2 linked regions of the Canis lupus familiaris genome follow. The protein of the gene in region 2 purifies or fractionates together with the protein of the main gene of each other region. This does not show direct contact. Links are inferred from orthologs where the notes say so. Each region holds a gene or a part of one and is shown on either strand. Other genes may lie near its edges.

Region 1 (6,460 bases), on a different chromosome or scaffold from region 2:
CCCTTTTACTCCAGAACCGACACCCTTTTACTCCACCGTGGCTCAAAGGGGATTTGGTGCCAATTTTAGATCCGAATGCCTCCTAGTAAAATGCTATTTCATGTTACTTGCCACAGCCCTGGGAATTCCATGAAGCCACGTGTTACCAGACATAACAGTAGTTGCTGGAATGTTCCATTCTCTCCCTTTTCAGAAGCTTTTCTAAGAAGATTAGGTTTGTCGGTGTAGGAGGCGCCGTTAACTCCTCTAGGGAAGTGATTTCTTCCTCTCTGAGAAAATCTGCCTGTCTAACAGGAGGATTGTGAACCTAAAATTACAACTCAAAGATAGGAAAAGACGTCCTCCATTTAGTCATTGACATTTACTGGCCTATAGCATGTGGGCTGTGTGGATACAGGAACAAGTAAGTCATTACCTGTCCTCAAAGCTTGTACTGTAGGGTAGAAAACTGACATGTGGACCTGAGAGTATAAACAGTAAGTGGTGCTAGAAGTGGTTAATGCTTAATTTTCCTTATGTGAGGTGTCTCAGATACATACCAACTGAGCTTCCACCATTCCCAGGACTCTGGGTATTCTTAACTTCCCATCACAAGTTCTCCACTCATATCTCTTATGTTCAGTTTTATGCAGCTAAATCCATGTAGTATGCATGTTATTTTAAAAAGAAACAGGGATGCCTGGGTGGCTCAGTGGTTGAGCCTTTGGCTCAGGACCTGATCCTGGGGTCCTGGGATCAAGTCCCACGTCGGGCTCCCTGCATGGAGCCTGCTTCTCCCTCTGCCTGTGTCTCTGCCTCTCTGTGTATGTGTCTCATGAATAGATAAATAACATCTTTAAAAAAGGGAAATCAGTATTGTAAAGCTGTTGGGGAAAGGAGAGTTGGAGCCTCCCCCCACATAACACCTTATATGTTCCTTCCATTAGCTACTGGGTGGTTTTAATTCTGGAAGACAGTGTGTTTTCAGACACTGTTGCTTTAGCTCCATGGTCTCAGTGTGACTCTTGGATCAGCAACACCAACCTCACCTGAGAATTTGTTAGAAATATATATTCTTAGGCTTAGGCCCTTTCCCAGACTGCTGAAATATTTGGGGGAAAATGTACTGATGATGTTTGTAATTTACTTTGCAATGCACCCAAAATACAAATAGAACAAACTGATAAGTGAATCAAGTGAGGGATAGATAGTGCAATAAAATGTTAATGGCAGGTACATTCTGTCCTTTCACTTCAAGAACTGAAGGGATTGTTCTATATTGTCAAGATCTTTTCGGGTTTGGGGATGATATTTGCTGTCCTTTGTCCTTTTTCAGTAAGCAGTAACTTATTTCAAACAGGGTAACGTATTTTCTTTTTTTTTTTTTTTTTTAAGATTTTATTTATTTATTCATGATAGTCACACAGAGAGAGACAGAGAGGCAGAGACACAGGCAGAGGGAGAAGCAGGCTCCATGCACCGGGAGCCCGACGTGGGATTCGATCCCGGGTCTCCAGGATCGCGCCCCGGGCCAAAGGCAGGCGCCAAACCGCTGCGCCACCCAGGGATCCCGGGTAACGTATTTTCAATAGCAGAAAGTATAATATCAGGACGCATAGTTCCCAGTTACAAATTAATTCTAGTTCCTTTAAGCAAAGGAGTGAATCTGTTGACTTGAGGAATGCAAGAAAGGACTAAATGAGCAAACTGGGGGAATCCCTGGGTGGCTCAGCGGTTTAGTGCCTGCCTTTGGCCCAGGGTGTGATCCTGGAGTCCCGGGATCAAGTCCCACATCAGGCTCCCTGCATGAAGCCTGCTTCTCCCTCTGCCTGCATCTCTGCCTCTCTCTGTGTGTGTCTCTCATGAATAAATAAATTAAATCTTAAAAAAAAAAAAAAAAAAAAAAAAACGAGCAAACTGCCAGAAGAGGGATGCGTTTGGAACCAAGGATGCTCCACAGGGGCTGTCTTTCATCTCTGCTCTATAACTCTTTTATTGTCACTGCAGAGTCATCCATTTGGTTACTAGTATTTTGATTACATCTTACATCTTCTTCCTATAGAAAAGGGCTCTCAACTCCTATTCAAAAAATCTCAGGGAACATCAGCATTGTCTTAGCATGGGTCAGGCACCAGCCTTGCCGTCAGGAGAACATGGCACCCTCTGCCGGACCTTTGTGAGGGAAGGAGGACGAGTTGCTAGGTAGATAGTACATGGGTGTTTGTGTGTCAATTCACTTGGCCGTTGGCAGAATCTGCATATAGAGTTGAAGCGTGCTGATTTGTCTATTTCATTTACCTGTTAGCAAACTTTTGCCTCGGTGACACTGCATAATAAACCAAATCACAATGGCTTAGGATAAGCGTTCATTCTCATGCTGCTAGGGTTACAGGTCAGCTGGAGTTCAGCTAACCTAAGTAGGCTTCAGCTGGGTGACTCAGGTGGCCTGGGTTTGGGTTTAGCTCGGCTATGTATAAACTCATCTTAGGTCCCAGGACATGCCCTCATAGACGGTCACTAGAGCACAAGAACCAAGCTAGACAGAGCACAACCACATCGAAGGTCTTCGGTCACTAGCACTCCATTGACAAGACCATATCGTGTTGCTAAAACTCCCAACTTCATTGGGGTAGGGAAGCAGTCCCTGCGCAGCAGGAGAACAGGGGTGATGCTTAACAGCAATGCTTACTGTTATTCTTGATTTGAAGAAGAGCAGCTGATTGTACCAGAAGGTCTTGGAGGCTGAGAACATATATTCCATGTGTTTATCAAGTTCCTTCTAATTTTGTTCTGATCATAGTTGGATATAAAACATTTGAGGCCGATAAATAGCTCAAGCTCCATTTTTGGACTTAAGCTGTGCTTCGCCTCAGCCTTTCCCAGTGTTCCATAGGCTTTGACTTTAGTCTCCTATTTTCATAGCGCCCTGAGGTTTGGGTGGCCCTACATTTTATACAGTATACTTTCCTGAGTCCTTATTTGTTGCTGAGATACCCTGTGAGGTAAGTGGGGCGTAGCATTTCAGGTTTACAAATGGAAATAACTGAGACTGAAAGGTTGGTGACTTGTTGAAAGTCAGACGGCCAGTTAGTGGTGGCTCTGGGCTAGAACCCAGTTCCTCTGATTTAGAAACAGACTAGGTCTGACCTTGGATTTGCCACATTTTGGCCATGTGGGCAAGTTGTTTCTTTTTTCTAAGTGTAAATTTCTTATCTCTAATATGGGGGCAGGAGAGAGTTCTGGAACCTCCCTGTACCATTACTTGGAAAGTAAGTAGGATGATAAAGCATCTGGCCTTGTGCCTGCCCACCATAAAGTAAGCTCTTGCATTGCTTGTTAATGTATGCTCTGCTGTGCTATGTGGGGTGATCTTCATAGGCATGGTGGAAGTGTCTCTAAGGTCTTAAAATCTACATTTCTCTGAAAAGCAGTATTCTTGAATGACTGATTTCTAAACTTTGGTGCATATAACTTCTTTCCTTGCCTCCTCTTCTTAATGTTTTAGCCAGCTTACCAAAACCTGAGGCAGAAGGTGGATAATTTTGTGTCAACACATCTGGACAAGCAGGAATGGAATCCTACAATGAACAAAAACCAGTTGCGAAATGGTCTGAGGCAGAGTGTGGTTCAGTAAGTAGAATTAAGAGTGAAAAGGCGATAATCATGTAGGATGCACAAGAAAGCTGATAGGCATCATTATTTGGTCAGGGTGAATGGCATTTTACAGCAAATCCCACACACAAGTCCTAGCAGTCCACCCTTTATTAAAGTTAAGGTTCAAGTAAGCAAAGGACTCAGCTGACATTCTTGCTAGTTTATCCAACCTCCTTAGACTCCTGTGTAAACTCTACCGGGTGCATTGAAAGATACTTCAAGTTGTGAAACACAGTTCTCTCTTGCTTGAAGTTTTCAGCATAGTCGGCACATACATAGGAGTTTTAGACCCAGATAGCAGTGTTTGGATCTTGGGCAAGAGGAGTTGGATCTTTAGTATCATAAGGAAATGGGAGTTCTACAAAATCTTTGAGTCCATATGGCCCTCTCACATGTAATGGCAGCTTTTAGGAAGGCATGGAGTCTTATTAAAGCATGGCCTTCACAGTAACAAATGGAACCTTAGTTAATAAGGTGCTGCTGATAGCTCATCCAAGTGACTTCTTAATGTTGCTGGGCATAAAAGTGGAGGCAGTCATGGAATATGGTGTCCTAAGATAAGTTTTTCTAATCTACTTGAGATCTTTTTTGCTCTTATTACTGGCACTCATGTTCAAGTCTTGATCCACTGAACTCTACTGGAATATCTAAAAGCTTGTGAAGCCTACCTCCTTAGGTATAGAAATATGAGGGAATTATGCTTAGTGAAAAAAACCAATATCAAAAAGAAGTATGGTGACTCCATATATGTAACATTGGTGAACAAAGTTATAGCAATGGAGACAAAAATAGTGGTTGCCTAGGGCTTTAGGGATAGGAGGAGGAGGGGAGTGAGTGTGACTTGAAAGGGGTAGCACAAGGGGATACTCTGGTGGTATGGGTAAGATCTTCATTACCTGCAGTTACGTGGTGAAATGGCACAGAGCTACGCATACAACAGAGTGTGGTTACATGTGTGAAAACTAAGGTTGGGTTGTACTGGTTATCATTTTTCCAGTTTGATATTGCACTGTCAGTATGCAGGGTGCACAGACCTTCAAAGAATGATCTTTTTGTTTCCACAAGGTCAGGGATGTTGGAAGCTGGAGTGGACAGAATCATTTCTCAAGTGGTGGATCCCAAACTAAACCACATCTTTAGACCACAGATAGAAAGAGCAATTCATGAGTTCCTGGCGGCCAAGAAAAAAGAAGCTGTGCCAGCGCCCCCTCCAGAGCCTGAGAGCCAGGACCCCCCAGCTCCATCCCAGGATGCTTCCTAAGGTCCGGTATCCCATCTTTTGTCCAGGAGCATTCATCTCTGACTTATAGATAAATAAAATGGATAGAAAAGGGGTAAGCCACTATTGGGGATCATATTCTTTATGTATTCAGAAAAGCATTTACTGCAGATAGACTTCACCTACTATTTAAAAGTCATTTTTTACTGAGAACTAATGAATAGCATTCTCCTGTCTTGGTATGAGTTTCTGTGCCACCAGAGCTAAACATTTAAGCTGTGAATAGATGCTTCATTAGAAATAGTTAGCATCTATTAGATGCTATTAGATGCATTAGAAACTATTAGAAATAGATTAGCATCTATTAGAAATAGATGCTTCATTAGAAAGCCTGGGATGATTGTTGTGCACAAGAGAAATTCAAAGGAAAGTTCTGTTTTTCTGAAATTGATAAAACAAGTCTCACGCCTGGACATGAATTAAACTTGGGCTTGCAATTTGAATATAAAGTCGAACAATGTATTAAAAAACGCCATCCTAAATAAGACTCAGTTTGCTTTAAGCCCTGCTGTATTTCCCTGTATTTAGGGATTATAGTTTACCAGTGACAGTTACCATGGGATTCTTGTGTTATATGCATACCCCTTCTAATTACATTTGGGATTTAATTTAATCTTAAAAGCCAGCTATAGATGCACAAAGCAATACTTTTTGCAGGCTTTGAGACATTAGTAAATATGAGCAGTGATCAGCAAGTAAGCAGTGGATTCTTACCTAGCCATTGTTAGTAATCTGTCCTCTCAGTCCATTTTGGTGTTCTGTTTGTAAGATTCATTAAGATGTTTATAATTTTTTATAAGAAAGCATCAATGAGTGAACAGAACAAGAGCATAAAGCTCGTGTGGGGCACTGCCTTAAGGGGAGGGGGGTTGTCTTTTTGTGCCTGTATTGGGGGAAAACCTCAGTTCCATTATGGAGTGTAAAACATTACCAGTCTTTAAGTTTAATTGTAAATTCCTTTAGAAGCATTAAAATCAAATGTAGTCTCTTATCAAAAAGCATTTTAATCTGATTCTCTTATCTTTTCAGAGTATGTCTGACACCTTTTGGAAGCTCCATTGAATTAACCGCGAAGAAATGGATTCGGTTACTTAAGAGTACAACTTCAGAATGAAGACAGGCCGAGGTCATCACTGATTTCAGCATGCAGCCCTGACTGTGGGCAGTGTCCAGATTGAACAGGCAGTAGCAGAGTTGACCATGTGTGCTCCCTCATTGTGCTGTCATCTGGTCAGCCTGTCAAAGGGGATGACACCCAGTAGACACTACAGAGGTATAAAGAAACACTACATCAGTCTGGGTTGTCCTGAATCAAACCTTTATACTTGAACTTGAAGACTGTGTGGATTTTAGGGTTTTTGTGTTTGGGTATCCCTAGAGGGGCTGTAGCTATAGTGAAGGAACATAATCAGTTCCAAAGATGCAATTTCAAAGAATGACAGTGAAGGATAGCATGGAGTAGGTATTAGTGCTTATTTGTCAACTAGAATGTTTAAGCCATTAGCACCAAATAGCTCTAAAGTTGACGTGACCCTCTTGTACATGAAT
Region 2 (8,229 bases):
CTGTGGATGTGTGCTGCATGCCCTCCCGAGACAACCCCCAGATAACCCATCTGTTCCCCCACGACCCAATGACAGTCCCCCTCAGGGTGACACCCTGACCTTGGCATAGCAGCGCTCCATGTGGCGCAAGGCAACACGTGGGTTGATAGGGTGCCCGCAGGAGACGCAGAAGATCTGCAGGTCCGTGTCATCACTGTCACCCTCATTGCTCTGTGTGGAGTGGAAGGAACAATGAAGCCAGGCAGGACCGGGTACTGGGTCCAGGGCCGCTGGGCCTGTGCTCACTCACCTCCTCATCCTCACGGACAGCCTGCTGCTTGGCACGAAGAATGATGGCCTCAAGTTCATGGAATCGGCGCTCCATCTCCTGAAGGCGGGTACGGGCACTCTGCTGCTCACGGCGAATACGTTCGAGCAGCTTCTTCCCGTGCTCCTCAGCAATGCAGGGACTCTGCTGCCACTGCTGGATGCGCTGGGGGAGGATCTCGTAGATGCGGCTGCAGGGAGGCAGGGGGTTAGGTGCAGGCAGGGAAAGTGGCAAGGAACAAGACAAGTGGGGTGATCCAAGAACGGCAGAAGAGATGGGTGACCAAACGGCCAAAGAATAAGTAAGTGACTGGATGGTAGACAAGCAGATGAGGGACAGATAGACGGGTGCACCACGGACTGAGCAGCAGGCAGGTAGCTGATGAGAAGACACACAGAAGGCTCTAGCCATGCCCTGCCCTGTACTCCCTGACTCCCTTGTGCTCTCCAGGAATGACTTACTTGGCTGCCAGCTTCATGCCACAGTCATCTGAGCAATACTTGGAGCCGGGCTGGGCAGGGCGCACACAGCCAGGTCCCAGGCACTGCGGTAGTGATGCAGGATCCTTAGCGTCGGCGCGCTCTGGGTGTTTCCATTTGTCCTTGTGCTTCTGTTTCTGCCGATGCCGCTTATATCTCTCTTCCTTCTAAGGGACGAAGCAGTCAGGTCAGGTTAGGGTGGAGTTAAAGTCAGCCCCAGTTCCCTGTGTCCCGCTGCCCCCACCACCACTTCTGGCTCTTGCCCCACCCAGCTCCTGATCTTTGCCTCTCCCTACCTTCCCTGCCCTCTGCCTTCTCACACCCATTTCACCCTCTCCATCACCTTCTTCTCGGATTTCTTCTCCCGACGCTTTACGTGCTTCACTTTCACTGCTCTCTTCCGTAGGGCAGGGTCCAGGAATGGAGACTCCTCTGTGTCGCTCATCCAGGGCTGCAAGTGAGGCACATGCTGACCCACCTGCCCGCCCATGACCACCCCACCCACTCAGTTCCCAGATCAGCCTTCCATACTCCGCCTTATCTTCCAGCTCTCCTCACCACGGAAACTCCGCTTCTGTGACCTCCACCCTTCCACCATGGAACGCTCTGGCTGCTCACCAGGCCATGGTCATCAAAGGCCCCTGCACAGAAGTCCTGGTACAGGTCAGGATCCAGTGGTAGGTCCTCATCTGAGAGTGGCTCAGGTGTAGCCGTAGCCTCCGGTGGCTCCTTGACTGCTGATGATGCCACTGCCCCCTCGTCCTCACGGATGCGCCCCAGCTTCTGTGATGGCTGTGGCTGCTGCTGGGTGGGCAGTGGCCTGCGAGGCCGTGGCAGGGACTCTGAGGGCGTCACTGGCGAGAGCTGCAGGGCAGAATCTCAGGACTGGCCCTGACCGCCCTGCCCGCATGCCCCGCCCCGCCCTGGGGGGCTGGACTCACCGAGGAAGGGAAGTACTTGTACGATTCCTGTGCCGGCAGGAGGAAGGCCCAGGTCAGCCCCAGGTGGATGGAGGGTGGCCCTGCCCTAGCCCCACCCACAAGAGCCTAGCCCACCAACTGCCCTGTGTTGCCTCCCAGACACACCTAGTACCCCCGCTTCACATCACCAGGACATGCTCAACCCTGCTCCACCTGCCCTGACGTGCCTGACCGCTGAAAATGGCCGGGGGGGGGGGGGGGGGGTCTGCCCTGCCCACCTGGGGTCGGGGATGCCCCTGCTAGCCCCACACACCTGGTCACGCCCTGTTCACCTACACAGGCCAGGCTCCTTCCCACCTGTCTGTGTGTAGCAAGGCCCCAGCTCACCCGCCCAGCCTGCCCCCTCCTGGCCTCCACGAGCCTTTCCTGGACACACTGACACCCCCAGCCCTGCCCAGCTCTACCCATGCTCACCCGGGCCCGCAGCTGGCACTGACGCAGCCGGCACTTCTGCCGGATCTTGTTGGGGCCCCCAAACTTCTTCATGTCCCGACAAAAGTCACAGTGGCCACAGTCTTCGGTGCGCCGGCAGGCCTCACACTCGCCACACATGCGGGCTGACCGTTTGATCTGCTGCTGCTGCTGCTGCTGCTGCTGCTGCTGGTGATGCTGAGGGGAGAGGCCCAGTACAAAAATCAGGAACGTGTACGGGGCCTGCGGGAGGCTCAGCTTACCTATCCCAGCCCCAGCAGCCACTCACCTGGCTGGGTGTGGCCACCAAGGGCTGTGGAGAGGATTTGTGGGGCGAAGCAGAGCCCCGAGCAAGCATCGCCCCAACCCCTGTCCCTGACCCCGCCCGACGCTGCAGGTCTGGATCCGGGGCAGGCCTCTTGCGCCCTCCACCCTCATCCCGGGGCTCACTGCCGTCTCGCTCATTGCTGTCCCGCTCCCGTGACTTCTTGTGCCGATAACGGATTTCCAGCTTGGGGTCTTTCTCTGTGGGGAAGACAGTGGGGCCAGGGTGGGTGGACCCTGAGGGATTCGGAGGGTTCCTCTTCATCTTGGTCCCCCCCACCTTCTCCCCGTCACTCCTCCGGGGCAGGGCTACCCCGCTGGGGGACGCTCTAGCCAAGCGCCCGTTGGAGTCTCCGCTGCAGCTCACCACAAACCGAGTCCCTCGGCCCGGGACCCACCCTCCTTGAAGGCTTCTCCCTGGAGGCAGGTGGGTGTGCCCCCCGTCCAGGCCGCCCCCTCACCTCGGCACTCCCGACAGTACCACTCCCGGATGGCCTTGGCCATCTTCTCAGTGATCCGGATGCAGTCCCCATGGAACCACTCATTGCAGTTGTCACACCCGCTGCAGAGGATGGGGTGAGTGGTGCAGATGTGAGGGGCCGCACCCATCAGCCTCACCCAACCTCGCCGGCGTCAGCCCGCCCGCCTCTCCCCGGCTCACATCATGAAGCAGTTGATGTCTGGTTTGCGGCAGATGCAGTAGATGGGCGCGTTCTCGCCGTTCTCCGACTTGCTGTCCTCCCCAGCGTCTGGAGGCTCTGGGTCGGAGCCGTCCCCCTCCTGCGGGACGGTGCCTTAGAGCAGCCCCACCACGGCCTCCACAGACCGCGACCGTCTGCCCACGCTTCCCACCGCGGCTCCTCGCGACCCTCCCGGCCCGGCCCACGCCGGCACCCCGACCTCCCGCCCCGCCCCGCTCACGGTCACGGTCGCGGTCACGGTCACTAGCGCCCGGGCAGCCCCGCCCCCTCGCGCCTCCCCGCCGGCCCGACGCCGACTGCCCCGCTCGCTACGGGCCGCCGGGCAGGCTCAGCCCAGACGCCGGGTCCCGCCGCCCCGCAGTCCCCGAGCGGGCCCCCGACGAGCTGCCGAAAGGCGTCCCCACTAACTTCCATCACGGAGCCGCGCAGGGGCCCGTCACAAAACTCCCAGGTGGCTCACACGTCGGAACAAGCTCGGAACCCCGGACCCCGACATTCCACCCGCAGCCCCCTCTGAGGCTCCCCACAGGCCCCCGCCCGAGCGCCCGCGGACGCCCCTGACGGTTCACCACAGACCCCCCGAGTCTGCCCACGGACCCCCCGCCGCCGACCCGCCGACCCCTACCGCCGACCCTCCCCGGCCCCGTACTTACCATCTCTCCGCTCTCGGCGCACCCCTCTGCGACCCCCGCCAGCGACCCGCGAACCCGCACAGACCTCTCGGCGGCGTCCGCGGCCGTTGTAAAGGCGCCCACAACTACTTCCGCTTTGGTCGCGCCTCCCGGGCACCGTACTCTTATTGCGCAGGACTAATGCGTCGGCTCCGCACCAAACAAGTCGATCCGCCGCCTAGAGCCGCCACGGTCTCTCAGGCGCCACCATCTTGACGACCAAGACCGTACGGCGGTCAGGGCCGTAAACTAGTAGGAAACATGGCCGCACCTATGTGGCCGCTTTCGCGAGGGCACCGCCACCTTGTCGGCCGACTCCGTACGGTGGCCGCTCGTACGGACTCAACGTTACAGGAAATATGGCGGCGCCTGTGCGCGGCTTCCACGCAGATGCCGTCATCTTGGAAACTGATTCCGTAAGATGGCCGAGTCCGTACGTTCACGGGCAATGCATGGCAGCGTCCTACCCGCGGTCTCCAGGAGGGCGCCGCCATTTTGGCATCGACTCCGTACGATGGCGGCTTGCCCTGCAGAGAAGTTCAAAGGAAAAGCGGCTGCTCCCGAAACACCACGTGCCTCGAGTTACACTCCGTCTTCCATTCACTCACGTTTCCCTCCCACGTGTGTTAATGGGGCGCCAGCGGACTGTGCCCATGTTCCCCCGTTCTGTGTCTGACGTCATCCTCACCACCCTTTCGCGCCCCGGGTCCTCCTCGAAGGTCCTCAGCCCAGCCCGGCGCCCTGCAGCCTCGGCCCTTGCGGGAGCGCGGTCACCCTCCGAACGGAAGGATGCAGGTGAAGGGCCCGACCCTGGTGACAAGGGGCCGAGCCACAGCAGACCCCGGAACCCGAGACACCGGCTACACCGCGTCTTCCCCTGACCCCGCCACCGCCGGGATGTGGATTCGCCGGGATCCCCGTGACGTCCACTCTGGCTCTCTTCCATCAGACATACTCAATTCTCTCCTATGAAGTTAGTTCTTACAATTTTTTAATTAGACTCCGTACATTTAAAAAAAAAAAAAAAACCGGACAGGTCGGAGCTCTGGACACGTCCTTAAGGCCAGGCTGTAACTCAGGCAACCTGAGCGGTCGGGCGGGTTTTAACGGGTCAGCGCCCCCGCCCCAACCCCCAGCAGATGCGCGAGCCCGGGTCACAGGGAATGTCCGCGTTCAGGGTCACGACTCTATTCAGGTTGGGGGGGCGGGGGGCCTGGGGAAAATGAAACTTGTCACCGGGTGCTGACAGTCGTTCTGGATTTCTTGGCTCTGGACATCATAGTAACGTACTTGCTCCTGATGATTCTCCTGAGGGCGGTGTCGGGTCTGATTTTTGTTTTTGTTTTCACCTTTCCTAGACATTTTTACTCGTGGCCCCTCCACACCGTCACAGACAACCGAAGTCACAGGAGCTGCATCATGGACTGTGTGACCCTCTCTCCTTAAAACGCGTCTTCTTCTTCTTCTTTTTTTTTTTTAGAATTATTTATTTATTTATGATAGTCACAGAGAGAGAGAGAGAGGCAGAGACACAGGCAGAGGGAGAAGCAGGCTCCATGCACCGGGAGCCCGACGTGGGATTCGATCCCGGGTCTCCAGGATCGCGCCCTGGGCCAAAGGCAGGCGCCAAACCGCTGCGCCACCCAGGGATCCCCTAAAGCCCGTCTTTAATCCACAAAGTGGACCTTCAGATCCAGACTTGCCTCCTTTTTCTAGTTAATACTGAATTAATCTTAATTTGATTGTAACTTATTTTAATTAACATAATTCTTCGAATTTAGTTCATTTAATGTATTAAATTAACTTTAGTTAGTATAAATGAATATGCATGTGTTGGTAAGATACTCAGATAAATTTAACCAATAAATTTCAAATAATTCAATTTTAACTTAATTACAATTTGATGTATGAAAGTAAATTTAAGGGAATATAGTTCAAGTTTAACTTAAATTAATTACTCATTTAATTTAACATCACTGACTTGACTTACTAAATTTAATTTTATTTAAAATATTAGTTCAGGGGAATCCCTGGGTGGCTCAGAAGTTTAGCGCCTGCCTTTGGCCCAGGGCACGATCCTGGAGTCCCAGGATCGAGTCCCACATCGGGTTCCCAGCGTGGAGCCTGCTTCTCCCTCTTCCTGTGTCTCTGCCTCTCTCTCTCTCTCTCTCTCTATCATAAATAAATAACTAAATAAATATTTTTTAAAAATAAAAATAAAAAATAAAATATTGATTCAATTCATTCAATTCAATTTATTCAGTTCAGTATTGTGTATCATTTAATTTCAATTTAATATTGTTTACTTTGTTATACTTTAATATGATTTGATTAATCCCATTTGAATTAACATATTTAAATATTAATTTAAATTCATCTAATTCATTAATTTTTTTTTTAAGATTTATTTATTTAGGGCAGCCGGATGGCCCAGCAGTTTGGCACTGCCTTCAGCCTGGGGTATGATCCTGGAGACTGGGGATCGAGTCCCACATCAGGCTCCCTGCATGGAGCCTGCTTCTCCCTCTGCCTGTGTCTCTGCCTCTCTCTCTCTCTCTCTCTCTCTCTCTGTCTTAAATAAATAAAAAAATCTTAAAAAAAAAAGATGTATTTATTCATGAGAGACACAGAGAGAGGCAGAGATATAGGCAGAGGGAGAAGCAGGCTCCTCACAGGGAGCCAAATGTGGGACTCAATCCTGGAACTCCAGGATAATGCCCTGAGCAGAAGGCAGGACACTCAACCATTGAGGCACCCAGACACCTCAATTCATTACTTTCTAATGTTATGTAACTAAACTGAATTAAGCATATATTCAATTACTGTAATTTTAAAATATGATTTATTAAATATTTATTCAATTAAGAAAAAACAGTAAGAAGACACAAATTACCTCATGAATGCAAATGCAAAAAGAGCCATCAGTATGGATCTTATAGATACTAAAAATGGATTATTCACACATTTATACCAACCTAATGCAAAATATATATATTTTTAAAGATTTTATTTATTTATTCATAGACACAGAGAGAGAGGCAGAGACACAGGCAGAGGGAGAAGCAGGCTCCATGCAGGGAGCCCAATGTGGGACTCAATCCCGGGTCTCCAGGATCACACCCCAGGCTGCAGGCGGCGCCAAACCGCTGCGCCACGGGGGCTGCCCAATATATTTGACTACTTAGATAAAATGGACAAATTCATTGAAAAAGACAACTTACCAAAAAGTAACACATGAAGAAATAGAGATTTTGAGTAGCCAAGCAGTGATAAAATTACTTGAATTTCTAATTAAAAGCTTTCCCACAAAGAAAACTCCAAGCCCAAATAGCTTCACTGGTAAATTCAAATATTAAGGAAGAAAAAGATGAGTCCTGTACAAAGTGTTTGAGGTAATATAGATGAGGAAGAAATACTTTCCAGTTCATTTTCATAATCATTTACCTGATACTAAACTAGACAAAGATATTACAAGAAAAGAAAATGACAGGCCAACATATCCCATGAGCACAAATGCTACAAATTATGAGGAATGGTCCCCAAAAGACTGCTTTTCCTATTTATGTATGTATGTATGTATGTATTTATTTATTTATAAGTAACCTCTACTCCCAACATGGGCCTTAAACTCATCACCTTGAGACCAAGAGTCACCTGCTCTACCAACTGAGCCAGCCAGGTGCCCCCTGCTTTTCCCTTTGGTATCACTGTAGAATTTAAGGTTCCTCAAGACCATGCTTACTTCTGGCACTAATTGCAGGTTTGGAGGTCCCCAACTAATTGGCTAGAAGAACTCACAGAACTCCCTGAAAGTTGTACTCACAGTTATCACAGGGAGAGAATTAAAATCTGTTATAGGATAGGGTCTGGAAAGGTTCCAAATACAGAGCTGCTAGTTACCCTGTCCCTCAGGAATCATAGAGCTAGTTGCTTTTAGGGACAATATGTGACAACAGGCATGGAGAATTGTCAACGAGGGAAGCTCACTTGAGACTTGGTGTCCAGAGTCTTAACTGGAGTTCCATTACCTCAGTACTGTTGACTGCCCATGTGTCTGATCAAGAGGTAGCGCTGATAGAATATGACTCTTAAGTCATCACCTCAAGTCACGTTGTTGGACTATCCAGTGACTAAAGACCCCTAGGCGAAGACAATTCTGTCAGGAATGACATTAAAGGGCTTAGAGATTACATCTTAGAAGTCAAGGCGAGCAAGAGCCAGACCTCTCTGGGCAACATTAAATTGTTTACTACACAGATGCAAAGTCATTAACAAAATATAAGCAAATTGCATCTAGCAATTTGTAAAAAATGATAACACCATGAAGAAGTCTATTTATGCCAGGAATGATCCTCA

Evidence for each region.
Region 1: the proteins of CXXC1 (region 2) and BOD1 purify together in Homo sapiens (affinity purification with mass spectrometry; 4 studies listed by BioGRID and IntAct, counting the BioPlex papers as one, with this or other methods). This does not show direct contact. The link is inferred for Canis lupus familiaris from reciprocal best matches to the Homo sapiens genes CXXC1 and BOD1.

What each region holds. Positions count from the first base shown.
Region 1 is NC_049225.1:39,775,748-39,782,207, forward strand, and holds part of BOD1 (biorientation of chromosomes in cell division protein 1), read left to right. Parts: intron 1-3,484; coding exon 3,485-3,609; intron 3,610-4,698; coding exon 4,699-4,894; 3' UTR 4,895-4,895; exon of another isoform or gene 4,896-4,967; intron 4,968-5,941; 3' UTR 5,942-6,460. UniProt on the Homo sapiens protein: Required for proper chromosome biorientation through the detection or correction of syntelic attachments in mitotic spindles.
Region 2 is NC_049228.1:78,680,719-78,688,947, reverse strand, and holds the start of CXXC1 (CXXC-type zinc finger protein 1), read right to left. Parts: upstream 4,671-8,229; 5' UTR 3,859-4,670; coding exon 3,856-3,858; intron 3,282-3,855; coding exon 3,163-3,281; intron 3,064-3,162; coding exon 2,963-3,063; intron 2,703-2,962; coding exon 2,467-2,702; intron 2,376-2,466; coding exon 2,181-2,375; intron 1,755-2,180; coding exon 1,728-1,754; intron 1,651-1,727; coding exon 1,405-1,650; intron 1,238-1,404; coding exon 1,130-1,237; intron 954-1,129; coding exon 769-953; intron 498-768; coding exon 290-497; intron 211-289; coding exon 100-210; intron 1-99. UniProt on the Homo sapiens protein: Transcriptional activator that exhibits a unique DNA binding specificity for CpG unmethylated motifs with a preference for CpGG.